4 linked regions of the Stegostoma tigrinum genome follow. The protein of the gene in region 1 purifies or fractionates together with the protein of each later gene. This does not show direct contact. Links are inferred from orthologs where the notes say so. Each region holds a gene or a part of one and is shown in the gene's direction. Other genes may lie near its edges.

Evidence for each region.
Region 2: the proteins of raf1b (region 1) and timm50 purify together in Homo sapiens (affinity purification with mass spectrometry; 4 studies listed by BioGRID and IntAct, with this or other methods). This does not show direct contact. The link is inferred for Stegostoma tigrinum from reciprocal best matches to the Homo sapiens genes RAF1 and TIMM50.
Region 3: the proteins of raf1b (region 1) and bag2 purify together in Homo sapiens (co-immunoprecipitation; 3 studies listed by BioGRID and IntAct, with this or other methods). This does not show direct contact. The link is inferred for Stegostoma tigrinum from reciprocal best matches to the Homo sapiens genes RAF1 and BAG2.
Region 4: the proteins of raf1b (region 1) and dicer1 purify together in Homo sapiens (affinity purification with mass spectrometry; 3 studies listed by BioGRID and IntAct, with this or other methods). This does not show direct contact. The link is inferred for Stegostoma tigrinum from reciprocal best matches to the Homo sapiens genes RAF1 and DICER1.

The regions. Positions count from the first base shown.
Region 1 is NC_081364.1:25,156,121-25,163,923, reverse strand, and holds the start of raf1b (RAF proto-oncogene serine/threonine-protein kinase), read left to right. Parts: upstream 1-4,797; 5' UTR 4,798-4,812; coding exon 4,813-4,820; intron 4,821-4,966; exon of another isoform or gene 4,967-5,579; intron 5,580-7,803. UniProt on the Homo sapiens protein: Serine/threonine-protein kinase that acts as a regulatory link between the membrane-associated Ras GTPases and the MAPK/ERK cascade, and this critical regulatory link functions as a switch determining cell fate decisions including proliferation, differentiation, apoptosis, survival and oncogenic transformation.
Region 2 is NC_081392.1:2,961,857-2,969,487, reverse strand, and holds the start of timm50 (mitochondrial import inner membrane translocase subunit TIM50), read left to right. Parts: upstream 1-4,624; 5' UTR 4,625-4,686; coding exon 4,687-5,092; intron 5,093-7,631. UniProt on the Homo sapiens protein: Essential component of the TIM23 complex, a complex that mediates the translocation of transit peptide-containing proteins across the mitochondrial inner membrane. Has some phosphatase activity in vitro; however such activity may not be relevant in vivo.
Region 3 is NC_081357.1:92,219,339-92,226,868, reverse strand, and holds the start of bag2 (BAG family molecular chaperone regulator 2), read left to right. Parts: upstream 1-4,523; 5' UTR 4,524-5,245; coding exon 5,246-5,367; intron 5,368-5,420; exon of another isoform or gene 5,421-5,780; intron 5,781-7,530. UniProt on the Homo sapiens protein: Co-chaperone for HSP70 and HSC70 chaperone proteins. Acts as a nucleotide-exchange factor (NEF) promoting the release of ADP from the HSP70 and HSC70 proteins thereby triggering client/substrate protein release.
Region 4 is NC_081363.1:6,496,682-6,503,893, forward strand, and holds the start of dicer1 (endoribonuclease Dicer), read left to right. Parts: upstream 1-4,205; 5' UTR 4,206-4,534; intron 4,535-7,212. UniProt on the Homo sapiens protein: Double-stranded RNA (dsRNA) endoribonuclease playing a central role in short dsRNA-mediated post-transcriptional gene silencing.

The DNA.
Region 1 (7,803 bases):
CACCCAATCGTAGTTCATTCACTCAGAATAAATCCATTGCCATTCAAATTATACTATTATGACATGAAAAACCCGAAAAGCTCATAAAACCAAATAATTAAGTCTATGGTAAAGAGTTAAATCACAATTCCGATTTCCCACTTAATTTTAACAACACCAGTATTACTCTTTCCTGTGAAATCGGGAATCGTCGCCATTTGTAATTTGATCACTTCAGCCATGTTATATTTGTTGCACTAGATGGCAGTGCAGTCCAGTTTAATCTCTGCCTTCCACTAACATTGATCAGTTTGAGGAAGCTCAAGCTATATTTAACTTTCAGTTTCCTTCTATTAACTTTGTAATCCTGAAATTCCTATTAAAGCATCTTGTTTGAATCCATGTTTGAACCCCTCCAAATAGCTTTTGCCCTACTATTGCACTCAAATACTTCATAACAAAATTAGAAATGGCGTTCTGTATGACTATGGCAATGGTAAACAGTCCCTCATTACACTTCCCTATCTGTTTGCAGCCTTTGACACATTGACCACACTATCCTCTTCAGTATCACTCCAGCATCATCTTGCTGGGGGGGACATTATTCTCTACTCCCTATCCACCAACTCCACACACTCTTCCTATTTGATTCTGAGTTGATCATATACAGGTAATGTCATGAAGACTGCCCATTTTCACTTCTGTATCACAATTTGGCTCATGTGTCCATTCTACCAATAAATTCCCACCCCAGTCTTTGTTACTGTTTTACTTGACTATTCCAACACACACCTTGTCAGCCATCATAGCCTCCAAAAACTTAAATTCATCTGAAACTCTGCTTTCACAAAAATATAGAAAATAAGAACAGGGGTAGATCATTCAGTGCTTCAACATAATTATGTCCAATCAGCCAACTCGGTAGACTGTTCCCTCTTTCTCCCCATACTATTTGATCCCTTTAGTCCTATGAATGTATCTAGTTCCTTCTTGAAAACTTTTCATGTCCCAACGTGTACCAAATTTGATTCGACTGTAACCTTTGTGCATGCTAGCCCGCATAGGTTTCTGCTTTTTAAATTCTTATCCTTGTTTTTAGATCCCTCCTTCATCTCATTGCTCCCTAGCTCTGTAATCTCCTCCCATTCTCCAAAGAGCGCAACCTCCAATTCTTATCTCTTGAGCACTTAAAATTTTCATCACTCCATCACTGATGATTGTGTATCCATTACCAAGATCATAAAACTTTTTTTTCATTCATTCATAGGATGGGCATGTCATTGGCTGGGCCAGCACTTATTGCCCATCCCTAATTGCCTTTGAGAAGGTGGTGGTGAATTGGCTTCTTGAACTGCTGCATTTCATTTGGTTAGTTATACCCACAATGCTGTCATGCGCGCAATTTTAGGATTTTGGCCCAGCGACATTGAAGAATTGGCATTATATTTCCAAGTCAAGATGGTGAGTGGCTTAGAATGGAACTTACAGGTGGTGGTGTTTCATGTACCTTCTGTTGATGCCCTTCCAGGTGGTAACATTTGTGAGTCTGGAAGATGTTATCTAAGGAGCCTTGGTGAGCTACTGTAGTGCATCTTGTTGATGGTACACACCACACTTACTGAGCATCGGTGATGGAGGAAGTGAATATTTGTGGATGTGGCACTATTGAAGCAGGCTGCTTTGTTCTGGATGGTGTTAAACTTATTGAGTGTTGCTGAAGCTGCACTTTTCCAGATAAGTAAGGAGTAATCCATTGCATTCCCGTTTTATGCTTTAGAGGTGGTAGGCAGGCTTCCCTCCAGGGAGTCAGGAAATGAGTTGCTGCAGGATTGCCAGCCTCTGACCTATTCTTGGAGCTACAGTATATGTGTGGCTACTCAAATAAAAGCAAAATATTTCAAATGTTGGAAATTTGAAATAAACAGAAAATCCTGGAGAAACTCAGCAGGTCTGGCAGCATCTGTGGAGGGAGAGCAACAGATTTAAAGTTTCGAATAAAATATCATCATCAAATCCCTACAGTGTGAAAGCAGGCCATTCCCATCAAGCCCACACCACCACCCCAAACAGCAATCCCACCCTGACCTACCCCATCCCTGTAACTCTGCTTTTCCCATGTCTAACCCACCTAGCCTGCACATCCCTGGACACTATAGAACAATTTAGCATGGCCAATCCACTTAACTTGCACATCTTTGGACTGTGGAAGGAAACCCAGCCAGACACAGAGAGAATGTGCAAACTCCACACAGACAGCCAAATGAAGGTGGAATCAAACCTGGGTCCAACACACTGAGGCAGTAGTGCTAACCACTGAGCCATCATGCCATCCTCTGTTCTGAAGAAGAGTAATATTAGACTTGAAACATTAACTCTATCTCTGTTTCAACAGATGCTGCCAAACCTGGTGATTTTCTCCAGCATTTTCTGCTGTTATTTATAAGGGTAGTCGAGTTCACTTTCTGGTCAAAGTTAACCTCCAGGATGGTTATGTTTCCTCCCTAAATCACATATTTCCCCTCTTTCCTGCTTTAAGACAATCCTTAAAATCTACTTAATATCTCTCGTACATTTCTATGTGTAGTTTGTTACTACATTTTGTTTGATATACACCAGAAAAATTATGTTGGATAACTTAGTGCAGTAAAGGTACTAATAAATTAATGTTGCCATGTTTTTTTTATTCATTCACAGGATGAGGGTGTTGCTGGATATGCCGCATTTATTGCCCATCCCTAATTGCCCAGAGGGCAGTTAAGAGTCAACACATTGCTGTGGGTCTGGAGTCACGTGTAGGCCAGACCAGGTAAGGATGGAAGATTCCTTCCCTAAAGGTTTATTCATGTATAATCAATTACATATCGAAACCGTATTGAAAGATTGGTTGTGTAGTTAGAAAATTGCCTCAGTTAAACATTTAAACATAATCAACAATAGGTACTGGCTCAGTAGCTTTCTTTAAAATGACAATTGTGGCCCAAGAAGTCTGTACTGGCAAAGATATACTAAATCGTCACTTTCCAGCACTAAAGGTATTGTAATAACTATGTAGTTATATATCATAATATGCACTTGTTTTAAGGCTGTTCTGTGTTCAATCATATTTAATTTCAAACTTATTGCATGGAAGTTGACATTTTAAAAAGTGCAAGTCAGCATCTCTTTACAACAACGTCATAATAGTAGCTTGGATTCATACTGATCTCTATTTTAGCAGAGATGAAAGCAGTATTGGACCTAGAAAATCTTTGGAGTAATTGAATCTGAAGATGACAGTGGTGTGAACAAGAGTTTCAGCAGAAATTTCCTTTTTGACTTGACCAGCGTGTAAATGGATTACATAATGAATTGGAAGTAGATGTCTTTCTGACAGAAGGAAGATACGTTGAAAGCTCAGTCCAGCAATGAATAGGATAATAAGGGTCTAAACAGTCTGATAAACCACGAGACAGTTACAGTAGCTCACTGGAGTTGCACTATTAATTGTCACATTAACACATTATTTTCTTCATTATATCTCAAGAAAGTAGCAAATATAATCAATCAAAATGGTGGATGCTGTAAATCAGGAACAAAAACAGAAGTTGCTGGAAAAGCTCAGCAGGTCTGGCAGCATCTGTGAAGGGTCACTGGACCCGAAATGTTAACTCTGATTTTTTTCTTCACAGATGCTGCCAGACCTGCTGACGTTTTCCAGCAACTTCTGTTTTTGTAGCAAATATAATCATTTTATTCAAGAAGGAGAAAGGCTGTATGTAGACCAAGTAACGTGACATCTGATATCTGGAAGGCATTGGAATTATGAAAGGGATTATACCTTAGAAAAACATGAAGTAGTCAGCAAGAGTCAACATCATTTCATCAAAGAGAAATCATGTTTAGCCAATTTGTTGGAGTTCTTTGATGGAGTTCCATGGTCTGTGGATAATTGTAAACCTGCAGATGAGCTGGACTTGGATTTCCAGATGGCATTTGATAAGGTGGCACATAAATGGTATTTGCAGAAAATAAAAACTCATGGTGTGTAATGCATTGATAGAAAACTGACTGGTTGGCAGAAAATAAACAGTATGCATAAATAGGGCTTGGATGTGATAAGTCTTCCAGGTCAAATCCTGGTCTTTGCCTGAGCCTAAATTCATCAGATCCCAATCTTTCATCTACATGGCCCAGTTCAATTATCTTCTCTTCTTGATCTAAACTGATTTACTGGCATACCACAAGGAATTGACTAACGTTCTGTGCAATTGAGAATTTTAAATGTTTACTTAGATAAGAAATTTAAAGTATTAGACAAAAAGTTTGATGGGGGCAGCAAAATTATTTGGAATAGATTTGTTTTTTCAATGAGGAACCGTTTAAAAGCAACAGTACAACTGCAAACAAATGCAAAATGCCGTAGATGCTGGAAATCTGAAATAGAAACTGAAAATACACGTAATACTCAACAGGTATGAGTTCTACACCTGAGTCCAGAGTGGACAATGTGATGCGCCGAGGTTCCCAGCGCAAGGCGTCAAATTCACTTTGAAAAGCGGAAAATGGTGCCAATACTCAGCGGTTCAGGGCTGATTATAACTGAAAGGCTGGCGTATCTGCCCTCTCCACCTATACTGATTGACCTGAGTGTGTCCTCAGCATTTTCCGTTCGTGATCAGATTTCCAGCACATGCTTTTTAAAAAACATATATAAATGGTCTTTAGCGTGTTCAGCTGCTCAGTTGGACTCTCTGAACAAGCCAGAGACGGACACAATGATGTTATAATTGTTTTTTTGTGCGTGTCAGGGTGGTTGTTTCGACCGACAGCTACAAGACACTCTCATTTCCAAACATGCCGAGGTAAGCTAACAGGATGGAGTGGTCAAATGACCTCGGTGGAATTTCACTTGCTATTTGCAGTGCAGTGTCCCTAAAGCCTGGCAACAGGCTGACGATGGCTGTAAATCCACTATCTTATTTCAACTGTCTGACGTCATCCAAACTCACATTTCTTAACGTTGGAAGAGCAGAGAGAAAACTTTAATGTACTTTGCAAATTAATTTACCAAACACTACACCTTTCTCTGACTCATTTGTCTTCGGTGTGAGGGAGACTTTTATTGTTCTATGTCCGTCTCCAAGGGTCTGAGGAACTTTTTGGTGTTTATGCTCCTCTCACGAAAAGCAATGCATCTTTTCCAGTGCCCGTGACCTGATAGTTGCTTCTCTTTAGACCGTGTGTGAGTGCCGGAGCAGGTATTTAGCTCCCATTCAATGGGGTGGGGGAGGCGAGTTTGCAGACTCGCGCAAATGGTTTGAGAGGACGACCGTTCTCCTGCATTGGAATCGCGAATATCCTAGCTCTTCCGGCATCCTGCACGCAGGGCTGCGATGTGAACGGAGCCTGTGATCGCAGCAGTTGGCCAGAGTGTGTGGGAACCAGTGTGCAAGTGGGGGAATATGATGATGTCAGCGGGCGACAACTTTCTCGCTTAGTTATGGCGGAGGTCAACTTGAGAGAGTTGGCCAACCTTCGGATCTCCAACACGGCAGCGGGGATCGGCGCCGAGTCCTCACCCGGCTCCCTCGACCTTTAAAGGGACAGCGATCGGTGAAAGTGTGAGTGCGGTTGGGTGCACTGGGAAAGGGTTAAAGCCGCCGTTTGTTCCCTCTTGTCTGGTTTTATTTTGTTGTTGGTTGCTGCGGGTGGCTGTCCCTCTTTGCAGGAGGGCCCAAAGCGTCGAGCTTGTAGGCCGGTCCCAAAAATATCTGTTTTCTTTTAAGTTTTCCTTCCCCACCTTCCTCGACCCGAAAAGACTGCTCGGCGTAAGGCCGTTTCCCTCTTGGCGGTAACACGCAGCGACCATTGTAGAAGTTGTGCACACATTGTGCAGTCTGTCTGAGTGCCCAGGGTCAGCGCGATTGCTTTCGCCTCTGTTACACTAACTCGATCTATTGTGCGCTTCACATCTTTTCAAAATCCACCGAGTTCGGAGGAGGTAGTGCTGGTGGCGGTGGCGGGGCGGGGGTAGGAGGTGGTGGTTGGACCAAGTAAACTCAGAATATTTCGAGGGGCACAGAGACAGAGAGAGACAGAGAGAGAAAATAAAAATGGTCTGGTTCGCCCACACGATATTTATTCGAGCAAGAACACCGTCAACACACGCCGGGGTTTCATTCGGTTGAAAAATCCAAACACCTCGCCAGTGACTCCACTCCAGAGGGTTGTCACTCTCGCTAACTAATCTGCCGTGTGACTGTGAGAAGGTTTACTTGTTTCAAGTGAGCGGAGAGAATTCTCACGTGTACGATTCAGAAAGCATTCACGCGTGTCCTGAATGACACACAGGCACGATGGTGGTGGTCTGTGACTGTATGTGTGAGTGTCTGTCTGTACGTGGTTTGGGCTGGGTTTGGTGGTGGGTGGGGTTGCGAATTTTCACCCAACTCTTAGGCAAGTGGTTCTGTCGTGCGAGGCTTCCAAAAGGGGGAAACACCCATTCTGGAAATAAACTCCAGACGTAGAGATCCTTTCGTACTAATCGATCATTAACTGAAGTCTTTGGATGTAAACCTGGATCAAACAGATCGAAGCATGATAATGGCAGTGCGGTATCATTCTTTCGATCACTAGGAGCCAGACTTCCTTGAAACTGCCGAAATAGCTCTAAGCTTTTTTTTTAAGTTGAAGGCAGTTCAGTCAGCAGGCCCACAAAACATTACACCAGTGTAAATTCTACACTTATTCTATCCACTTATGCAGAATCCCTCTCGCATGCTGTCGATTCACACATTTTTATATAAAACAACACATTGCTGTTTGTTGTTGTATCCAGTTTAATATGTTTAAAAATAGGTAAATATTACCTCCAGTTTCAGGCAGTTTGCTGATAATTGGCTACCAGCACTTTCTCCTGCGTAGCATTGCTTGCAATTGAGATTTTGATATTTGGTAAATGTATTTTTCTGGTATTTACACTATAAAATTGAAGGTAACACAGTAAACATTGAGGCACACATAAAATTAAGTGGAAACTCATTTGAGATTGAGAAGAGTGTACCTTTTATTTTGTGAACTGGAAGTACAAAAATATAAATCTCCCAGAACTGACCCAAACCTGTCCTTGGTCTTCAGTTTTGGGAATCATTTAGAGTGTCTGTGTTGATTCACATATCTGTTTGATAAGACACTCAGGATGTAACACTGAAAAGTATGGTGTCATGTGACTACCACAGTGATGATTCTGATTTTTGTCTGTAGTGATCCCTGGGGGCACCTTTCTAAATGGATGTGGGAATATTGTGCGCCATAGTACACAATGGACTATCTCCCTACCACTCCTACGATTATTTGTGGGGTTGAACAAGAAAACATTTTGTAATTGGGATGTTTTATTTGTGAATGAAATATCAACAATCTTTCATAACATTATATATCAGACCAGGAAATGTTGGAGGACTATACAAAGAGATCCACTGTGTTTTGTGCTGTTGATCTGGCAAGCAATCTGTACACAACAGCCTAAAATACACCACCAATTCTGATGCTGTCCTTGCTTAAATATGTGAGAATGGAACTGCAGAAAGACTGGTATTTCTTTGTGTGACCCTATGAATAGGAGTTACATAAATTTGCATTCAGTTACTGTTCTGTGAATAACGACCCATAAACAACAGTCACTGTTTATGCTGGTACAGCCTTGGGTAGGTCAATTGTAGAAATAAGGTCACACTGGGAAAGACTTATCTAGATCTTGACACATAACAGGTAAACAATGCAGGAATTTGGATGTTTGTAGGAGTACTTATTTCACCATAGGTGGTAACTACTGCATACATAAAA
Region 2 (7,631 bases), on another chromosome or scaffold:
CTTCAGAATCTCAATGTTAGCCATGTTTTTATTCTAATACTGAGCTCTCACTGAGGAAGGCTTGAGGCTTTCCTAGGTTCACAAATGTCTAGTAAGCTTCTCATCCCAGACTGAAATGACTGACACCTTTATCCTAAGACTGGTACTACATCACTGACTGATGTTAATGTAGATGTGGTTTCCAGGAGGGAGTCAATGAAAAGTAATCAGAAACCCAAAATCCAAGATCTACCACCTTCTTTGGCCATTGAATGTTGATGAAATTACAGTTGAAATCAATTCCACACCCACTGGGAATTAAATTTGGACCTAGCTGGTTTGTGGCTCTAAATTTTGGTGAATAAGTGATGCCTTTATCCAATTATTCCTTTGGGAGGCTAGTGGAAGAATCACAACACAGTCCGGATGTGCACACCAGATTTGTGTCCCACCTGGTTAACAAGATTGACTTTCAGATTACTTTCTTATTACTGATTTTCCAAAGAAAAAGTGAATTATGGGTCATGCCAAGCCCTCTAAAAGCCTGCAAAACCTTTAGGTAGAGTTAGAATAATCTACTTAAGAGCCGTCTTGGAATGAGTGATGTCGGGTCATGGTGCAGAAACATGGCAAGATACTGTGCTGTGGGTACAGAATTGCTTCCCAATTCCACTGCATTCTATTTTGTGAGGAGGTGCTAAGAGGAACCAGGCATGTGTACCTTCTTGATTCCAGGTGCTTTGTGATCTGGGAGACCAGACAAGATGTAAAACCAAAAGGGTTGTGGTTTTGGCTGTTCATTTGGGGAACAGTTTTACTGGTGCTGGCACCACCTTTCTTTTCTGTGGCATGCCAAAAGATATGAAAGTGACAGACAATGGGCCAAAGCATTAGTTTGAGGTTTTACACTGATTCTTAAAGAAGGGGAAAGAGAAATAAATATTTAAATTCCAGAGCATAAGGCCCAGGTACATTGCAATTTAGTTAGCAGAGGAACTGGATTTTGGATTGGAGAATGTTGGGAATGCAATTAAGGTCAAATTTAGAGGAACACAGTTCTTAATGGATTATCAATTTTGACATATAGAGAGAGGTGAGACCATGTCGGGATATGAACAAGTTTAAGACTGAATTAAGACCTTAATAAATAGGAATGAGAGTAGGCAGTTTGGCCCCCTGAGCCTGCGTGGCTATTCAGTAGGATCATGGCTGATCTGAAATTTGTCACGTTCACATCCTTCATGTGATCCTAAACAATTTGTGCTGGATGGATACTCAATTGATGAATGGCATCAGAATCAAGTCTGGCAGTCTTCGCTTCCTGACGTTTGGGTGTGGGCTCAGTGGAAGATGAGAAATTTATTAAGGGAATTCCACAGCCTGGGCAGTAGGCTATGTTAGTGTTAACTGATGATGCACAGAGCATTGGAGCCAGATCTTAAATGGGGATAGTGGCTGGGAATGGCAAAACAGAAAGAAACTAGATTTTTTTAAAAATTGACCCTATGACCTCATTGCATTTATATAGTGCCTTTCACAACTTCAGTACATCTCAATTAATTTCCTTATTGCTAATTTGGCTATAATAGTACAGATATTAATTTGGATGCAACAAAATCCCACTAACTTACTGTTAAATTGTAATGAAAAAAAATCAACTGTTGAAGTACTCAACAGATCTGACAGCATCTGTAGAGACAGAAAGTTAAGGTTTTGAGTCAGATATGACCTCCAGAGTAATGTATGTTGTTGAGGGATAGATATCAGCCACGACATTGGGGATAATGCCAGGATTCTTCAAAATAATGCCATTGAACCTATTATCACCATCTGAGACAGTAAACAAGACCTCTGTTTAATGCTTCATTTGACACATAATGGAACAGGGATAGGCTTCTCAGCCCTTCACTGTTATCTCTCTTGATAACATCTTGGCTGATTTGATTACTTCACATTGCTGTGTCTCCACCCTAACCTTTTGACTCCCTTGTTGGTCAAGAACCGACGCTACCTTAAAAGTATTCAATGACTACTCTTCCCCTGTGGCCTGGAGAAGAGAATTCCAAAGATTCAGCCTAGTTTTTGTTTTTGAAAAATAAACCCCTTATTTTTGAACTGGAAAACCTATTTCTAGTGTCTCCCACAAGGGTTACCATCCTTTTAACATATCGCTTATGAAGACTTCTCATATCATATATGTTTCAATAAGATCGTCTTATTTTCAGAACTCCAGTGGAGATAGGCACAGTCTGTCCAATCTTTCCTCTCAAAAAAACACCTTCATCCTAGGTGTCAATTGAGTGGACCTTTTCTGAATTGCATCCAACATATGTACATCCTTTCTTAAATGAGATCAAAACTCGACATAACGTAAGTATAGCCCCAATAATATTCTATACAACCATAGCAAAACATTTCCACTTCAGTTTTCCGTTTCTCTTGCAATAGATGACTATATTGTGCTTGGCTTGCCTTCACAGAAAGAAGATGTACCTCCAACAGTATTCACTCAGTATTACACTTGCAATACTGCTGATACAGGAGATATGAAATAAAATGTGTGTTGGAGAAGCTCAGCAGATCTGGTAGTATCTGTAGAGAATGAAACAGTTAATGTTTCAAGTCCTTAAAATTAGAGGAAGAGTGAAGTTCTGAAAAAAGTGACACTGGATTGAAAGATTGTATCTGTTTCTCTCTCCAGAGATATTGCTGAGCCTATTGAATTTGCCTAACATTTTCTGCTTTTGTGACACTTGGAGTGTCATCCAGGATTTTGTGTCCAAGTCCCCTGTTTGGGAATTAACTCAATGTCCTTCTGACTGAAGCAAGCACTCAGCAAACTCAACCACTGCATTGTCATTTGATGTCAAGCCTAGTCTGACTTTTAAGACATGACCACATCTAAGCAAATTCTATACAACATGACTAAATACAAAGTTTTGCACTTCAGTGTGAAAAACAGAAAGCAAGAATATTATTTAAATGATCATCTTTTGGGAAGTATGGATGTACAAAGGGATTTGGGTATCTGTGTACATCAGTCAATAAATGGGAGTTCTGAAGAACTGGACTCAACATTAATTCTCTTTCTCTGCACGGATGCTGCTAGACCTGCTCAGTTTCTTTAGCAATTTCTGTTTTTGAGCCAATAAATGTAGATAGGTGCAACAGGTAATTTGGAAAACAAATGGTACATTGTCTTTCATTGCAAGAGAATTTGAGTTCAGAAGCAGGGGTGTCTTAATGTAGCCATACAGGGTCTTGGTGTAACTACAGCAGGAGTATGGCATGTAGTTTTGGTCTCCTTGCCTAAAAATGGATATATTCCCATGGAAGGAGTGCAGTGGAGATTCACTAGGCTGCTACTGGTTATGACAAAACTCTCAATAAGGAAAAATTGGTTCAACTGGACCTGGTAGAGTTTAGAAAGATGAGAGGGGATCTGATTGAATCATGTAAAGTTCCAACAGGACTAGACTTATTTGATGCAGAGAGGATGTTTTCCCTGTCTGGGAAATCTCGAACCAGAAATCACAGCATCAGACTACGAGAGTTGACTATTTAGGTCAGAGATGAGGAACAATTTCTTCATTGAATTTGTGGAATTCACTGTCACTGAAGGCTGTGGAGGCCAAGTCACTGAATACCTCCAAGAAAGATAGAGATAGTAAGAACTGCAGATGCTGGAATCAGAGATGATACCATGTAGACCTGGAGGAACACAGCAGACCAGACAGAGGAAATATAGAGATAATGGGAACTGCAGATGCTGGAGAATCTGCGATAATAAAGTGTGGAGCTGGATGAACACAGCAGGCCAAGCAGCATCTTAGGAGCACAAAAGCTGACGTTTGGGGAAACGTCATCTTTTGTGCTCCTAAGACGCTGCTTGGCCTGCTGTGTTCTTGCAGCTCCACACTTTGTTATCAGAGAAAATATAGATACATTTTTATTTTATAGATACATTCAAAGGCATTGAGGGGTAGGGGCAGAAAGTAAGGCTATGACATTGAGGTTGAGGATCGTTCATGATCATTTTGAATCCAAGGTTCAAAAAAGTTTGTATGTTTCTAGCACTGGACTGCAGTGATTCAAGAGGGCAGCTCAAGGCTAGCTAGGGATGGGAAATATCTGGTTGATGAATATATTTTAAAAATTCAGTCCTTTTGCTATATTCTTTTACATGTTTCTTTATCAAATATTTACCCCAATCCCCTCCAAAACTGTAATGTATTCTGCTTCTCCAACCTCTGCATAATAAGCTCTCATTTGCTCAGTTGAAGATGACCTTGAATTGATGTTCTTCAGTTAAAAATTCTCTGCATTTGTCATCCATGTGAAAGCTCTGGTGTTTATGTTTTGTTCCTTTTTTTGTTAAAGAAATAAGTCTCTGTCAGAGTTATTTTCCTACATTTCTCCATGATTTCGCAGGTATTTTGAATCGGGTTTTAGATTTCCTTCAGGATTCATTTGTCCTCCTTCGCCCACTGTGATGACCTTTGGCATGTTTCGGGGTGGGGGAGGAAAACACGAAAACCAACCGGGCTTGCTGACTGTCAGGTCCTCTCTATCGTGGCTTTGATTGGCTAAGTGACGTCGCCGCGCGTAAGCGCCTCCTTTTCCGTTTGGTCCTGCCCCACGTCAATCAGACAAAATGTGTATTCGGTTGAGAGGGAGTGTGTGAAAGGGGTGGGAGGTCGGCTCAAGATGGCGGCGTCGCTCAGTTGCATGTGTCGCCGCTCAACGCTGGACCTCTGCAGGAAAATCTTACGCTGCCGGCCTGCGACCAGTCGCAAAAGGTCCGCTTTGAAAAGTTGTGAGGTAAAACTCGGCTCTTCGCCGGCGTGTCGGACCCTGTCGACGGAAAGAGGCCGCGGGCCGAGCGGCGCCGGGGCGGGAGGCCTGGCTCATGCGATCCTGCAGGAGAAGCTGCAGCAGCAGGAACGGGCCAAAGAAGAGGCCGGCAGCGGGGAGCCAGGGGCTGGCAGCAGCGATTCCGGCGCCGACCAGGAGCAGAAACAGAAGCAAAATGCAGCCTATGCCAAGAAAATGGTGCTGAGACTGGCGGGACTGCTGGGGGCCGGCAGCGCCTTCGCGGTGGTCTACGTCTTCGGTGAGTGGCAGTAGTTTAGTGTCCACATCTGAAAAATCTCCAGCTGAAACTTCATGTTGCTGCATTGTTATCTCCCATTTACTATGTCACCTGTCATGCTGCAGTTGCAGACTATAGCCATGGGGTGGCACAGTGAAACGGTTTAGCTTAGGGTCTATCTGAATACTTAAGTGATCTTGTCATTAACAGTGTAACGCGTCTTTAGGAGTGTGGATACACTAGCTTATAGAATTACAGGATTGTCTCAGTATAGAAGCTGGCCGTTTAACCGAGTCTGATGAAGGGCCATATGGATTCAAAATGCCAACTTGCTTTCTTTCCATGGATGCTGTCTGTACCAGTTGTCCAAATGAGCATAAGCTAATGCCTGTTGAATCTCTTCTTAACTTAGGGAGGGTGTTGTACCACATCTATCTCTCACTTGTAGCTGATACAGGAACAATTCTTCCCTTACGCCTTGTGTTACAAAGATTTTCAAATAGCTGATCAACCTGTGTGGCTGCTTTATGATACCGGTTCTGTGGCCATTATATCCTAAGGTAGGCCTTGACCTCGAATTTCTGGTCAGAAGTAGTAAGGATGCTATATACTATGCCTTTAGACTCCTAGTGTAATTTTAATAATTACCAGCTTGGGTGGTTAGCTAGATGTGACTATAGTGCTGGCTGAATTGTACATCTGTTAGTTATTTGAATGTTACCTAAAGATCAAGACCTGTTGTTTTAGCTCTTTGCCTTGCTATCATCAGGGAAAATGCAAGAATGTCAGATTTCAAAATTAACAGAACAGTTTACACTACAGGAGGAACAAAAATGCTGATCAGTTGACAAGTTGGTTCTGATTAGCTGAGTCACCAAAGCAATGGGAAACCTTTTGATTCTCCAAGTTCCTGAATAATTCAGAAAAGCCATGAGGCCATGCTTGTGAAAACTAAAACACAGCACTTATCCATTAGATGTGATTCTGGATATGTCAGTAGGGACACTAACAGCCAATGTAAGGCAATCAAACACATGGGTAATGTGGCTCACCTATTTTGCTAAATGTGACAGTCAAAATAATGTCTATAAACAAAATAAACATGTTCAGGCCTTGCACCTTTTTAAGAATTACCCAAGAACCTAGAATTCTTCACCCAGATCTCAAAGGAACTTGGGACCTTTTTCACTAGTACTGTTTCTCATTTTAGTATGCATTGAGAGATTAGCTTTAAAAATGGTGAAACCATTTTATTACTTCAGTTCATAAATGTTGAAACAAAAAATAAGTTGAATAAATGCAATGAACTGGCTAAAAACTATCTCAACTGGCCAGCACAGTGGCTCAGTGGTTAGCACTACAGCCTCACAGTGCCAGGGACCCGGGTTCAATTCCAGCCTCGGGCAACTGTCTGTGTGGAGTTTGTAAATTCTCCCCATGCCTGCGTGCGTTTCCTCCCACAGTTCTAAGATGTGCAGGCTAGGTGGATCGGCCATGCCAAATTGCCCATAGTGTTCAGGGGTGTGTGGGTTATGGGTCTGGGTGGGATGCGCCAACGGGCGATGCGGACTTGTTGGGCCGAAGGGCCTGTTTCCACACTGTAGGGAATCTAGGCTAATCTAAAGTCATTTTACTTCCTGCAATTCTCTTCTATCTTGACCAGAGATTCTTCTCCAGCTCCGAGGTAACTTTTTCTGTCTTTGATAGCCACATATGTTTCATTATTCATTCATAGGATGTGGGGAGTCGCTGGGTCGGCCAGCATTTATTGCCCAGGGGGCATACAAAAGCAACCATGTTGCTTTCAGTCTGGAGTCATAGGTAGGCCAGTCCAGGTAAGGATGGCAGTTCCCTTCCCTAAAGGGCATTAGTGAATCCAGGTGGGTTTTCTCGATAATCGGCAATGAATTCACAGTCATCAGTAGACTCTTAATTCCAGATATTTTAAAAATTGAATTCACATTCCACCATCTACCATAGCCAGATTTTAACCCAGGTCCCCAGAACATCACCTGGGTCTCTAGGTTAATAGCCCAGTGATAATACCACCAGGCCATTGCCTCCCCGATTTCTTGCTGCTGCTTAGCTTAATCATTTGATGTGAAGAAATAACTCATTCTGCCAACAGCGAGGAGCATAGCTGTTTTGGGCAAAGGAAGTGCTCAGGCTGAAACACACTGTTGCTTTTTCCATATTTGCTATCAAATTGAAGAATACAGTTCCTTCGCATTTCCTGTTTTTCAGCTTGTAAAATCAGAACAAAGTATCCTTGTCTTGAAACATTGGTACCATTTCAACTTTAGTTCTCCCAAATGACTAAAGTACAAGGTGCAGTCTCTGACAATTGCCATTATCTTGTGGTATCAATACAGTTGTGGTACAGAGCTTGCAGCTTGGAGGTCGTGAGTTCAAATGCCAATATAGTAAATTTAAATTGAATTCAGCAAGTCTTGTAATTTGTAGACTAGCTCTGACCAATCAGTGACTAGGGGTACAATTCTTTATCCTTCCTTTCTTACCTGTACTAACTTAGTAAAAAAATAGATATTTTGTTTCCACC
Region 3 (7,530 bases), on another chromosome or scaffold:
GGTATCCTATCAGGCGGGGACACTCAATACAGCCCCTTTCCAAAAACGGTCTTCCAGTTCAACCTTTATTGCTCCAGTCGCACTTGTCTGTTCTTTGTTTCAACCAGTCTCCCCCGTGGTTCCCTACCAACCGAGCATGCGGTCTGTCTCCTCTCTGGGAGCAGTCCTTTCATGGACTTCACTGCCAAAGCTCTAGTTGTTGATTCTCCACTCCACACAACTCTGCAGGGTTTGGCTTTACAACTTTATTCCTCCACCACCCCCACCCCATAATTTTTTCCTCCAGATTTGTAATTGTTTTAACAAGCTGATTTTCCATCTATTAAGAGGTCATAGGGTTTAACTCCCTCTTAGCTTTGGTTATGTTTCTGCTTTGTGTGTTTCTGTGTGGTGACCAACTAATGGACAATCAGATCCGTAATGATTCCTGCTGTTCCCAAAGTCAATTCCCCAGCGGAGGGGAGGGTGCTGACTGAATCGTGAACTTTATACGGAATCCCAGTCTTTTCTGATAAAATTTTTTTAAAAATTAAGGTTAGCAGTTGGGTAGAGAAGGAAAAGTTATAAAGAATGGATAGGGTTGTAACAATACATGCAGGAAGAAGATAATGCAGTATAACTCAGTGGACAGTTTTGATGATCTGGAATGCACCACCTGAGAGTGTAATGGATACAGAGGCTGTCGAAACCTTCAGAAGAAAATTACTGAGGCAGACTTTTAATTCTAGATTTATTGATGGCATTTAAATTCCTCCAGCTGCCTTGCTAGGCTTTGAACCTCTGACCACAGCATATTACAAGGTTTTATGGATTGTTCATTCCCCACCCCCAAAAGTATGAGATATTGAAATGTAGCATGCTAAACAAAGTCATGATGCCAAACATCAGAGAGGTTCAAAGCTCAACATGAGTTCATGACTTTTCAGCTTCAGTTTTTATCTTCAGTACTCTTTGAAGAATCATGTTGCAAACCATGCTTTGTCATGCACCATATCTTACCTACATCAAAGGTGCATTTCATAGATAAGACCTCAGGACATCTCTTCCCAAATCCTTTGAAGTAATATTGCTGTAAAGTGCTTGTATGTTACAAAAGCTACTTTCCTTGAATAGGACTACCTCTCTTTTTAAAGACTTTGAAGAAGAGATTTTATTAATCATTATGTATGGTCAATGGATAGCTCTACCAATGTTTATTGTCCTTGCCACAAAAATTACACCTTAATTACTCATTGTTAAACATTGCTGTTAGTTAACGTCCACCTTAGAACTATCTTTTTATATTGGAAATCCTGTTGTTCAAAGATGCAAGGAAATTCAGTTAATAATTTTCCAGAATGTCCAACACTCAAAAACAAAAAGGTGCAAGATCTCTGATTACCACTTGTCTTTGGGCAGAGATGAGTCGAATCTGTTAAACTAAGTGAAACTGATTGAAATCTTGTTTTGTGTACAGTACACTGATAGATCAGAATACCAATTTGAGCCAAGACACTCATTTAATATCCACTCTTCTCACTTTCGGTGAAGTTGAAATACAAGGGGTACATATGTTAATTGTTCAGATTCACTATATCTCGATAAACATTGGGTAAATCCCCATAAGCACATGACTCAATTGGTATGACTAATGCGGACTAATTTGAAGAAGGTATGTACAATGCTGAAATTCATTATTGTTCGTATTAAAGCAACACTATAAACTGCAACCAAGATAGGAGATCTTTTACATGTACTTCCCTGGAATGTATATTTCACATTGATTTCCCTTCCCCTCCACTTAGCTTTTTCTGATAGTACAGTTTTGTTTTGTACAAAATGGTTATTGCGTTCCTTACAATAATGAAGAAGCTTCCAAAAGTGCTTCATTTGCTATGAAGGAATTTGGGATATCTGGAGATTATGATAGATGCTGCGTAAATCAAATATTTTTTCTTCACCCATCGTCATGAGATTTTCTGAGATATTTTGAGAGAGAGACATAATTATATTTGCGTAGAGCCTTATCAACAAAAACATCAGCTCAAACTCATTGTGACAAACTTTGTGACATTATCACCTCAGTGTTTTGAGATCAACCTGAACTTCATTATATAACTTGACCTGATATTTCATTGCAGCACTGTCAGAAGTGATGTGTTTCGGAAATGGCAAGCAGCTCAAATATAGGTGAAGAACAGAGTTCTTTCAGTGACTTGGCTATTTAATTCTTCTCTCTACCTCCAAAAGCTTGCCGTTTATATTGCACAGTTAATGTAGCAAACACAATTGTAGCCTTACAATCGTATTAGCAGACAACAGGTGAGGGGGCCAAAGAGGATATCAAAACAGGTGAGAAACGCTTAGTGGAAGATGATGTGCTGGAAGATCAATCAAACAGAACAACATAACCAGCTTGTCTGGCTGTCTATTTGACTTGATGGAGACATGATCTGATGGGTACTGCATCATTAGTGATTCTTTATTTAAACATCTTCAAGTAATGCAACCAACATGTCAGTAACATCCAATGAACTATACAGAGAATAAATGACCAAAGAAAGAAATGTTGTGAATCTCCTTCCATCCAAACTTTCCAAGTAAGTTCCTGCTTTTTATTTCAACCGTTTGCATATGATTGAAGCCTGGTACACTTTTTGTGCACATGGATGGCCACATGAAGGTTAAAGGAAGACCTTCTATTTAGTGGGATAACAAGGTGTAGAGCTGGATGAACATAGGCCGAGGAGCAGGTAAGCTGACATTTCGGGTCCAGACTCCTCTTCAGAAATGGGGGAGAAGAAGGGGATTCTGAAATAAATAGGGAGAGAGGGGGAGGTGGATAGAAGATGAATAAAGGAGAAGATAGGTGGAGAGGAGACAGACAGGTCAGAGAGGTGGGGATGGAGCCAGTAAAAGTGAGTCTTGGTGGGGAGGTAGGGAGGGGATAGGTCAGTCCAGGGAGACAAGTCAAGGGGGCAGATGAGGCTGGTAGGTAGGAGATGGGAGTGGGGCTTGAGGTGGGAGGAAGGACAAGTTAGGGAGGTGGGTACGAGCCTGGCTGGTTTTGCGATGTGATCGGGATGGGGAGATTGACAAGTTTGTGAATCATCCCTCACACCCTCTCCCTGCAGTCACAACCAAAACAGGATCCCTTCATCCTCACATACCACCTCACCAACCTCTGAATCCAACGCATCATCCTCCAGCACTTCCGCCGTCTGCAATCTGACCGCACTACCAAAGACATTTTTCTCTCCTCACCCTTATCTGCTTTCCAGAGGGACTGCGCTCTCTGTAACTCCCTTGTCCACTCCACACTCCCCACCAGCCCCACCACCCAGGGCATTTTTTTTGCTGCAACCGCAGGAAGTGCTACACCTCCCCCCTCACCCCCATCGCAGGCCCCAAGAAGACTTTCCACATCAAAACACATCTGCTAATGTGGTATACTGTTTCTCTGTTCCGGATGTGGCCTCTTCGACATCGGGGAAAACCAAGTGGAGGCTTGGGGACCGCTTTGCAGAACACCTACGCTTGATTCACAACAAATAACTGCACCTCCCAGTTACGAGCCATTTCAACTCTCCCCCCCCCCCCCCCCCCCACTCCTTCAACAACATGTCCATTCTGGGCCTCCTGCAGTGCCACGACAATGCCACCCAAAGTTTGCAGGAACAGCAGCTCATATTTTGCTTGGGAACCCTGCAGCCTAATGGTATCAATGTGGACTTCACACAGGTTCCAAAAATCTCCCTTCCCCAAACCACATCTCAAAACCAGCCCAACTTGTCCCTGCGTCCCTAACTTGCCCTTCCTCCCACCTATCCCTTCCTCCTACCTCAAGCCCCACCCCCATCACCTACCTACCAGCCTTGACCTGTGTGCCCTCCCTGGACTGACCTATTCCCCCCCCCCCCTAACTCCACACCTACACTCACCTTTACTATCTCCATCCCCACCTCTTTGACTTGTCTGTCTCCTCCACCTATCTTCTCCTCTATCCATCTTCTTTCCACCTCTCCCTCTGTCCCTATTTATTTCAGAACCGCCTTTCCATCCCCCATTTCTGAAGAAGGGTTTAGACCTGAAACCTCACCCTTCCTGCTCCTCTGATGCTGCTTGGCCTGCTGTGTTCATCCAGCTCTATACCTTGTTATCTCATATTCTCCAGTATCTGCAGGTTCCTACTATCCCTGAAATGTCTATTTAGTATTTTTTTATTGGTTTCAGATACTCCAAAGTGTTTTGCAGCCGCTGAAGTACTGTAACATTTTACATTGCACTTGACAATGATCAAGTAGATTTTAAGTGATGTTTATTAAGGGAGAACTATTAGCTAGGACTCTTTTTTTTTAAAAAAACTACCGACATTTTTTGCGCCACTGAAAGACAATCTATTTCATATCATCTCAAAGACAACACCTTCATTAGTGAAGGACATCCTCGATACTGGGCAGTAGTGTCAGCCTAGACTGGATGCACATATCACCAGGGGTCTTAAAAGCGTGCGCAACTAACGGACTCGGAGGTGAATATGTGCAACTCACTGTCACACGGATCTCCAAGACTAGATCCAACTTCAGAATAATCAAAGAACAATATATTCCCGATCTTGGTAGACTGGTACGTCTCATAGCATTTTTAAATGAGCCCATTCATCTCAAAATAGGGTTGAAAAAAAACGATTTTTTTAATTTATTGGTGGTGAGTTGTAGTCTTGAATCATTGCAGTCTTTGGAGATATTGAAGGAAGAGCAAGATATGGGCTCAGAGGGGAACTTGGTGGTGACGGAGTGGGAAATGGAACGAATCACGTCCAGAAAAAGAAATTCCAGCTTACATTAGTGTTTCACAAAGAATAAACACGAGGATAAAAGACTTTTTAAAAAAAGATTTTGACATGTTCACAATCTCCATCAACAGTTGACTGGAAAGATTGAAAAAATGCGCCTTGCTAAATATATTGCTTGGCGCCTGCTGAGTTTTTTTTTCTAGAAAACCCACTGGCCAGGAATAAATCTGAGCCAGGGACTGAGAGATTTCTGTTGCCTCTGTTCTGCATCCTTCTTTCCTGTGAGTAGAGGTTTATCCACCCTACCCCCCACCCCTCCCTCCTTGGACAGTGGGGGAGTCCTCACCCTATTTGGAAATCTTCATCTCCCACAGGAAGACGAGCAGATCCCACAAGAGGAACCAAGATTCCCGGAGGAACGGGAGAGAGAGAGAGAAAGGCCAGTTGACAGCCCTGAAACTTGTCAGCATCATGGCCCAGTCTAAGATCAATCAGGTAAAGGGGAACGATGTAGAAAACAAGTTCTTCCGCTCTATGTCCATGGCAGATCGATCGGGGCGGCTCCTGGAGACACTGGACAACTTAGAGCTGAGGTAGGAGAGGACACCAGTCCCGTCCTTTAAAGCGGTTCATACAGAAACAAAAATAACACACAGGTTGAGAAACGAGTGTAATCCTCGTATTTGTTATAATTTTTTTTAAAAAGGTGAAAAATGTAATTGTTATTTTCTGGAATTGTTCTTTGGGATCCTAAACAGAAAAAAAATCCTTGAGGTCAGGATGGCCTTACCGAATCGGAAAGAGACTTCTGATTTTATTTTTAGTGAAGACTTCCTGTCGCCGCCCCCTCTCTAGCTGTCTCTCTCTCTCTCTCTCTCTCTGTGCCTCTCGCCTGGTCGTTGAGGCTCTGTCAAATCGTAATCATGCCGCGTCCCGTCTTACCCAGCAGTTGGCCTCTTAGTGATATTCGGTGCATACAACTGTAGCTTTCAGTCAGCAGTAAACGGTGTGTACAGCTCTGATTTTTTAAAATATCGGATCACAGGCACAGAGTTCTTTCGGCCTTCAGCCGGGAAGACCGGAGACAGCACTAATATGGGGCTGTTCAAAATCTTGGGGAGTTTTCACAGGGGAAAGCCGACGGGAAGCGGGGCTCCTGATCAAAGGACACAGGTTTATGATTATTGATTAAACAAAAGGTTTTGCAGCAGCATTGATACTGCATTTGAACTGCAGTGGCCTCAACTGCTAAAACTTGAAAACCCATTTTGTTTTTAAGGTTTGGTAAACTTACACTAATATGCTGTGTGCCCGATTCCCGTTTATTCACAATGAATACTCTGAATTATTCCTGCAGTTGAGAATTACATGTCAATACAATAGTGACTAAAACGATACCAGTCTGAAAATGACTGATCTTGTCTGATTTTAGAAGCTAAGCAATTCAGGCCTGACCAGTACTTGGAATGGAAGACAGCCTGGGAAATAAACGTGCAGTAGGCTTTTAAGAATTTTAATTGCACAGTTGTCATGTCCCTATCCCTGGACCAGGGCGTCTAGGTTGAAGACCCACCTGCCTGCGAGGTGTGTTATAACATTTCAGCATGTTGTTGAAGAAAACATTGAGGAAGAAAATAGCAGTTTCAAAACAGGCCTGTGACCCGGCGGCTAGCATCACTATCTCTGGGCCAGAAACTTCAGGTTGATCGTGCCTTGTGGCTTGATTGCTATGTAAGTTAGGGATGTAAATATTGTTTAAAAATTACCTGTCTTAAACTAATAACATTTAAATGGTTAATCAATATAATTTTAACAGATATTCAAACTAAAACTTTTTTTAGCTTTTGTAGTTTAAATTGTTCTCAGCAAATATGAAAATGAGCGAATGGCTAAATCTACAGAAACATCTGACACCGTCTTATACTGCATCCTCAAAAATTACTAACAAATTCCCTTAAAAAAGTTGCTTTCTAGGCAGCATTTTCTCTGATCTGTTTTGCTAATAAATATTGTACTGTAAATATAAGAAGTGATGAGGTATTGGAGATTTTGGTGGATTTAAAAGTGGGGACAAATCCCAGTTCTAGATGAGTTGTATCCCAAGCTGCTATGGGAGACGTGGGAGGAAATTACAGGGGCTCTGACCCAAATTTTTAAGTCTTCTCTGGCTACAGAGGATGTGCTAGAGGACTGGAGGACAGCTAATGTGGTTCCATTTTACAATAATGGTGGTAGAAATAGGCCAGGGAACTATTGACTACTCAAACTAACATCAGTAGTAGGGAAATTATCGGAGAAAGTAGTGAATGAGAAAATTAATCTCCATTTAGCAAAACAAGGTTTGACGCGGATAGTCAGCAGGGATTTATCAGAGGGAAGTCATGCCAGCAAATCTGGTGGAAATTTTCGAGGAGTTAACCATGAGTTTGAATCAGGGTAGGGTAGTTTGACGCAGTTTATATGGATTTCAGTCAGGCCTTTGACAAAGTTGCAAATCAAAAACTGATAAAAAAGGTAAAAGCTCATGGGATCCAAAGTAACTTGGCAAGTTGGATCCAAAATTGGCTTCGTTCCAGGAGACAGAGGGTGGTGATAGATGGTTGTTTGTGAGACTGGAGCCCAGTGTGCAGTGGTGTACCACAGGGATCGGTACTGAGTTCTTGATTGTTTGTGATATTTATCAATGATGATAAATAAGATTGTGGATGACAAGACTAGCTGGGTTTTTTTGGCAGTGTAGAGGAAGGCGTTAGTTT
Region 4 (7,212 bases), on another chromosome or scaffold:
CCATTCCTAGATGTCACAGTAGAGCGAACAGCCAATGGGGAACTTCAAACCAGCGTCTACGGGAAAATAACACATACGGACCAAATACTGAACTACAGGAGCAACCATCCCAACACCCACAAACGAAGCTGCATTAGAACATTATTCCAACGAGCCACCACACACTGCAGCACAGAGGAACTACGAAGAGCAGAAGAAAATCACCTATACAGCGTATTCAAAAAGAATGGGAGCACAAAAGCTGACGTTTTGGGCCTAGACCCTTCTTCAGAGAGGGGGATGGTAAGAGTGAACTAGAATAAATAGGGAGAGAGGGGGAGGCGGATCAAAGATGGAGAGAAAAGAAGATAGGTAGAGAGGAGAGTGTAGGTGAGGAGGTAGGGAGGGGATAGGTCAGTCCAGGGAAGACGGACAGGTCGAAGAGGCGGGATGAGGTGGTAGGTAGGAAATGGAGGTGCGGCTTGAGGTGGGAGGAAGGGATGGGTGAGAGGAAGAACAGGTTAGTGAAGCGGAGACAGGCTGGGCTGGTTTTGGGATGCAGTGGGGAATGGGAAGAACTCCCCCCACTGCATCACAAAGCCAGCCCAGCTCGTCCCCTCCCCCCGCCCCCCACTGCATCCCAAAACCAGCCCAGCCTGTCTCCACTTCCCTAACCTGTTCTTCCTCTCACCCATCCCTTCCTCCCACCTCAAGCCGCACTTCCATTTCCTACCTACCACCTCATCCCGCCTCCTCGACCTGTCCATCTTCCCTGGACTGACCTATCCCCTCCCTACCTCCTCACCTATACTCTCCTATCTACCTGTCTTCTTTTCTCTCCATCTTCGGTCCACCTCCCCCTCTCTCCCCATCCCCCTCTCTGAAGAACGGTCTAGGCCCGAAACATTAGCTTTTGTGCTCCTGAGATGATGCTTGGCCTGCTGTGTTCATCCAGCTCCACACACAGTTCAACTCTTGCCCCATTTGAAATCAGCTCACTGTCAATTGATTTTTCTTACTCTGAATTGTTGCATGCCATTCTCCAACACTATCTTTCAACTGTATGGTACAAAAGACACTGTCTACTAACTGTTTCCCCCCCCACTGATATTTGATCCATCTGCCAGAGACAGATCATTTATTTTTTTCTATAGTTTTGAATTAACTGTTTCTTTCAATTACTGATCTTGAGAGCTTGATAGCCTCTCCCTTGATTATTCACACAACTGTGCTTAAATTTTCTTAGCTTTGACCAAGGCCTTCAGGTTTATTACCAAAATATTTCTGTTCTGGAATTCTTACATTGATGTAAGCTATTTCCTAACTGTTCTGGACTAACTCCTTGTTCCAGGAGAAATTGTTACATCTAAACCCAGCAAGGTCACATTTGAATGGAAATCAAAGGCTTTCCAATCTGTCGGTATTTCCTAAGAGAAAAACTATCGAATCTTCAAAATCAAAAACAAGGGAATATCTTTTAATATTTGCTCTTTAATTGTCTTGCTGTCAAAATACAAATAAGTCCATGTTATTGCTCTAAGAGAATGTTTCACATCTGCTCTGGCACATACCGGTTTTAAATCATCACTCCAGAATCATCCACTAGTTAATTACCCCATTTATCACAGAGGTGAACAATCCATATGCAGCTGGTTAAAGTCCAAACTCTCAAATAAACTGTACAAATATATAAGTATGCCCAATCTATTTTTATATGCAAACAGTGATATAGTACACAATTACATGTTTGTATGCAGAGCCATCACAACTTTTACAGATGAAAGCGAAATGAAAAGACAAATCATATTACAAAATTAAACTAATGTCTAAGATTCCTAACAGATACAGTGGTACTGTACTATGTATTCTAATTTAGCACAGTGCTCCAGAATGGTGAAACAGATTTCCTTCAAATTTCCTTATTCAAAGTTCAGCCCTGCTTGACTGAGATTTTTTTGAAGAGGTGACCAAGAAGATAGATGAAAACAGCGCAGTAGATGTTGTCTGCATGGATTTTAGCAAGACCTTCTACGAGGTTCTGCGAGATAGACTGGTGAGTGAGGTGAATTCACATGGGATTCCAGAGACACCTAGCCAATTGGATACAAAAATAGCTTGATGGTAGAAGACAGAGTGGTGGTAGGGCTTGTTCAGATAGAAGACCAATAGTGTACGGCAATGATTAGCGCTGAGTCCATTGCTGTTCGTCATTGCTATCAAATGATTTGGATGAGAATATAAGAGGCATGGTTTATAAGTTTGTGGATGACACCAAAATTGGTGGTTTAGTGAACAGTAAAGGTGATTATCGAAGAGTATGATGGGATTTTGATCCAGTGGGCCAAGGAATAGTAGATGGAGTTGAAAGCAAGCAAATTCAAGGTATTGCATTTTGGAAAGACAAACCAGGTCAGGACTTACACTGTTAATGTTAGGGCCCTGGAGGGCACTGCCAAGTGGAGAAACATAGGGGTGCAGGTACGTAGTTCCTTGAAAGTGGTGTCACAGGTAGTCAGGGTGGCAAAGAAAGCATTTGGGACAGTTGCCTTCATTGGTCAGAGCTTTGAGTACAGGAGTTGAGATGTCATGTTCCAGCTGTATACAACATTAGTAAGGCCCCATTTGGAGTACTGTGTATAATTTTGGTAACCCTACTATAGGAAGGATACAAAGAAAGATTTAGAAGGATATTCCTAACATTGGAAGGTTTGAGTTATAAGTAGAGGCTGGGACTTTTACTTAAGCATAGGAAGCTGAGCGGTGACCTTACAGAGATTTATAAAATCACGAGGGTCGTAGATGAGTTGAATTGCCAAGTTCTTTTCCCCAGGATAGGGGAGTTGAGAACTAAGGTGCATAGGTTTAATGTGAGAGGGGAAAGATTTAAAAGAATCATGAGGTGCAACTTTTACAGGTAGAGTGTGGTATATACATGGAACAAGCTGCCAGAGGAAGTGGTAGAGGTAAATATAATTACAACATTAAAAAGATATTTGGCGGATAGGAAAGGCTTAGAGGGATATGGGCCAAATTATGGCAAACGTTCAGTTTAGGAAACCTGGTCGGCATAGGCGAGTTGGGCCGAAGGGTCTGTTTCCGTGCTGTATGACTCTATATAAAAATAATAGAGTGGAAGCTTCAAAGATACAAGTATTGATCAACGTTCTCCTGTTAGCTCGCTGGGCATCTTGACAGTGTTGCGCGCCAGGGGCAGGTTAGTAGAGAGCTTTCTATTCCAGATGGTTAGATAAAGGCTATTGACGATATTTCGCAGCTTGTCGCCTGTCGCGCGCACAGTCTCAAGTGTCGACTGCCTGCCGCCGCTGAGTGATTGAGGTCGGGGCTGTGTTGGTTCTGGGACTGGAGGCGAGGCAGGCTGGACAGTTTCCAAACACAAACACGGAGAATGCTAGAGAAACGCAGCAGGTCTGGCAACATCTGTGGAGGCGGAAACACATCTAACGTTTCGAGACCGGTACTTTGAGTAAGAAACGTCAACTCAAAACATCATCTAAAAGCGAAAAACTACGATGCTACAAACCTGAAACACACAGGGGCAATGTCGGAGAAACTCAGGAGGTCTGAAAAATAGGCATAACCGGGTGGCTGGAAACTTTAACTGTTTCTCGCTCCACATTTGGTGCCAACTCTGCTGAGTTTCTCCAGCATATCCGGTGCTTGTTAACAAAGTGTGAAGCTGGTTGAACACAGCAGGCCAAGCAGCATCTCAGGAGCACAAAAGCTGACGTTTCGGGCCTAGACCCATTTTGTGCTCCTGAGATGCTGCTTGGCCTGCTGTGTTCATCCAGCTCTACACTTTGTTATCTTGGATTCTCCAGCATCTGCAGTTCCCATTATCTCATATCCTGTGTTTGTTTCGGATTTCCAGCGTCCGCGGTATTTTGCTTTTTAACATTCCACCGGGGCACGGCTGACACAAAGCTGGGTGTCACGGGGATTGTTTGTTTGTTGTTGCTGCTGCTGCTGCTGCAAACAGGAATGGTAGGGAGGCGACATCCAAGATGACAGCTTGTGAATACGGTCTATCTGTCCGCAAGCAGTTTGTTGACACCGCCAGCCGCAGCGATTTCCGGCCTACCCGACCATAACCAGCAACCCGATTGGATGTCAACTTCGCCCGGTTCCCGCAGACCAATCGGAATTCTTGGTGCATCAGGGTGGGCCGAAAGAAGTGGGTGGGGGTGCGAGGGAAAAAAGGGAGGCGAATGCGCGCGCAGCCTGCGGCCCATCCAGGTGGAGAGGCGAAGGCGTGGAAGGAAAAACACATTTAAAAAAAAACCATTTATAAAGAGGCCGGGGGTGGTGTATCGAACAAGAAAAGGCTGTGAAATGGGAAGGGAGGGAGGAATTAAATAAGAAAGCAAGTTACCTGAAGGGAGAAAAGGCGGGGTGCCGGCCAGAAACCGGGCAAGTAGCAGCGACAGCAGGGGAGGGGGAGGGGAACTGAAAACCGTCGCCATCCTCCCGAACTCTACCTCCTAACCTCTCCCTCCCCTCAACAACAAACACACTCAATGCATCGTTACAGCCGGGGGTAAGCTTCACTTCACGCTTACGTGTGTGTGTGTATACATATTATGTATATATTTATACTTTTAAAAATGCGTGCATAAATATCTAATCAGTGTAAATAACTGGTACTTGCTAATCCGTCGTACGGCTCTGCCTCCCTCCTCCTTCTCCTCCTCCGGCCGCGTGGCTGCGCGAGCGCCGCCAACGGACTCCCTTTACTAGAACGTTCCGCCAGCTTCTCACGCGCGCTGTGGCCGTTAACGGACGCCGTCTCTCACCTCCTGTTTGAATTTTTATTTCTTTTGTACCAACGGTGGTAAAGAGTTGGATTTTTAAAAATGTACTTTTTTTTTCTTAAATAACTCTTAACCCGGCCCACTGCCACCCAAGCCGGGGATCTTTACCCGACCCATGGATGCGACCTTAGCGATCAGAGGCCCAACAGATTTTATTGTTCGCATCCTCCCACCGTCCCCCCTTTTAAAAAAAATGAGAGAGACACGGTGGGGGTGGGGGGAACGGGACGGTGATTTGGATATTAAAGGTCTGGGCCGCTTAGCCTCGGAGTGGGAGTAGGTGGCTAAGGTGCGAGGCCTACTGTTCGGGCTTCTTTTCCCAGCCTCTCGGGTCTAATTGCGATTGGTAGGTGTTGCCTCTACATAGACACATCAGTTTCTCCCCCCGCAACCCCAACCCAGGGGGTGCCGCAATTCTTGGGGATCGTGTCTTAGTGCTCATTATTGGAGGCCGTGTTAAAGGACTTGTGATCCCGCTGGCTCTATCCGTTGTCGGCGGAGGAGAACGGGGAACGGGGCAGCCGCTGCTGTCTCGGAGTTAGAGGCAATAGAAACGCTCCCAGGAAACCAGTCTGCTTTGCACCTCCTGGTTCTTCTCAACCAGATCTTTAATATCTTTGGTTAGAGACCAAAAAAAAGTGCAGATGCTGGAATCTAAAGTAGTCAAGCAGGAGGTTGGAAGAACGCCGGAAGCCAGGCAGCATCTGCAGGAAAAGAGCAGTCATCATTTCGAGTATTCTAGCTGAAAGTTAACTGCTCCTTTCCTCCAAATGCTGCCTGACTTGTTGTGTTCTTCCAGCCTTTATCTTTAATACCTTTCACCTGCTGGGGGTTTTCTTAGTTCACATCCATTTTTTTTGCCTACTGTGCACTGGTACTCATGTTATGCCCTAGTTTCATTGATTTTTGTCCAGTTTAACAGCCTTTGAGGGTTTGACTTATTGGTTAACATTGTTAGTTTCTTCTGAGCAAAAACAGCTTGCATTTATATAACACCTTATATTTAAACATCCTAAAGAGCTTTCTTTATTTAAAAAATTATGTTAAAGGAAGTTGAGCAGAATCATGGAATGTATTAGAACAGATGACTAAAAATTCATTCAAATAAGTAGATTTTAAGGTGTTTATTCTAGGACATAGAAATTTAGCTTTCAGGAATTAGACAGTCGTAGGTATAGATGGCTAACCATGGTTGGGCAAAGGAAATCAGTAGTATGCGAAAGTTCAGAAAATTCCCCATTACATTTTTGGCTGTGGTCAAATCTTCTATACGTAGGTTTAAGTCGAACTAGCCTCACCTCATCTGATGTCCACATGTTGATGCCAAGTAGAGCTGTTAGTAAAAATTAAGTTGTCTTTTTTTAATTCATTAACGGGATGAGGGCATTGCTGGCTAGGCAGCATTAATTGCCCAGAGGGCAGTTAAGAGTCAACCACATTGCTGTGGGCCTGGAGTCACATGTCGGACAGACCAGACAAGGATGGCAGTTTCATTCCCTAGAGGACAGTTGTGAACCAGATGGGTTTTTCCCAATAATTGACAATGGATTCATGGTCATTGTTAGACCCCTAATTCCAGATATTTATCAAATACTAATTCCACCGTCTGCCATAGCGGGATTTGAACCCAGGTCCCCAGGAATACAACGTGGGAAAGTGAGAGATGATGCACTTTGGTAAGAAGAACAGAAGCATGGACTATTTTCTAAATGGGGAGAAAATTCAGAAGTCTGAAGTGCGAAGAGGCTTGGGAGTTGTAGTCCAGGATTCTCTCACCTTAAACTTAAAGGTTGAGTCAGTAGTTAGGAAAGCAAATGCGACTTCTGCGTTTATTTTGAGGAGACTCGAGTATAAAAGCAAGGTTGTACACCTGAGGCTCTGGTCAGGCTGCTTTTCGAGTATTGTGTGGAGTTTTGGGCCCCATATCTCAAGAAGGATGCGCTGGCCCTGGAGCAGGTTCAGAAGAAGTTCAGGAGAATGATTCCAGCAATGAAAGCCCTGATATGAGGAACATTTGAGGACGCTGGATCTATACGTGATGGAGTTTAGAAGAGTGAGGGAATTGAAACTTACAGAATGATGAATGGCCTGGACGGAGTGGATATTGGGAAGAAGCCTCTGGGGGTCCTCTCGGGTCCTGTTGGTAGGAGAGACAGGACCTGAGAGCACAGCCTTAGAGTAAAGGGAAGATCTTTTAGATCGGAGACAAGGAGAAACATCTTCAGCCAGAGATAGATAATCTGTGGAGTTCATTGCCACGGTGATCAAAGGTTATGGGGAGAAAGCGAGAGAATGGGGTTGAGAAACTAAGAGCCATGATTGATTGGCAGAGCAGACTCAGTGGACTGAATAACCTAATTTCTGCTCCTGTGTCTTATTTTATTAAATTTTTATGTTTGGTCGC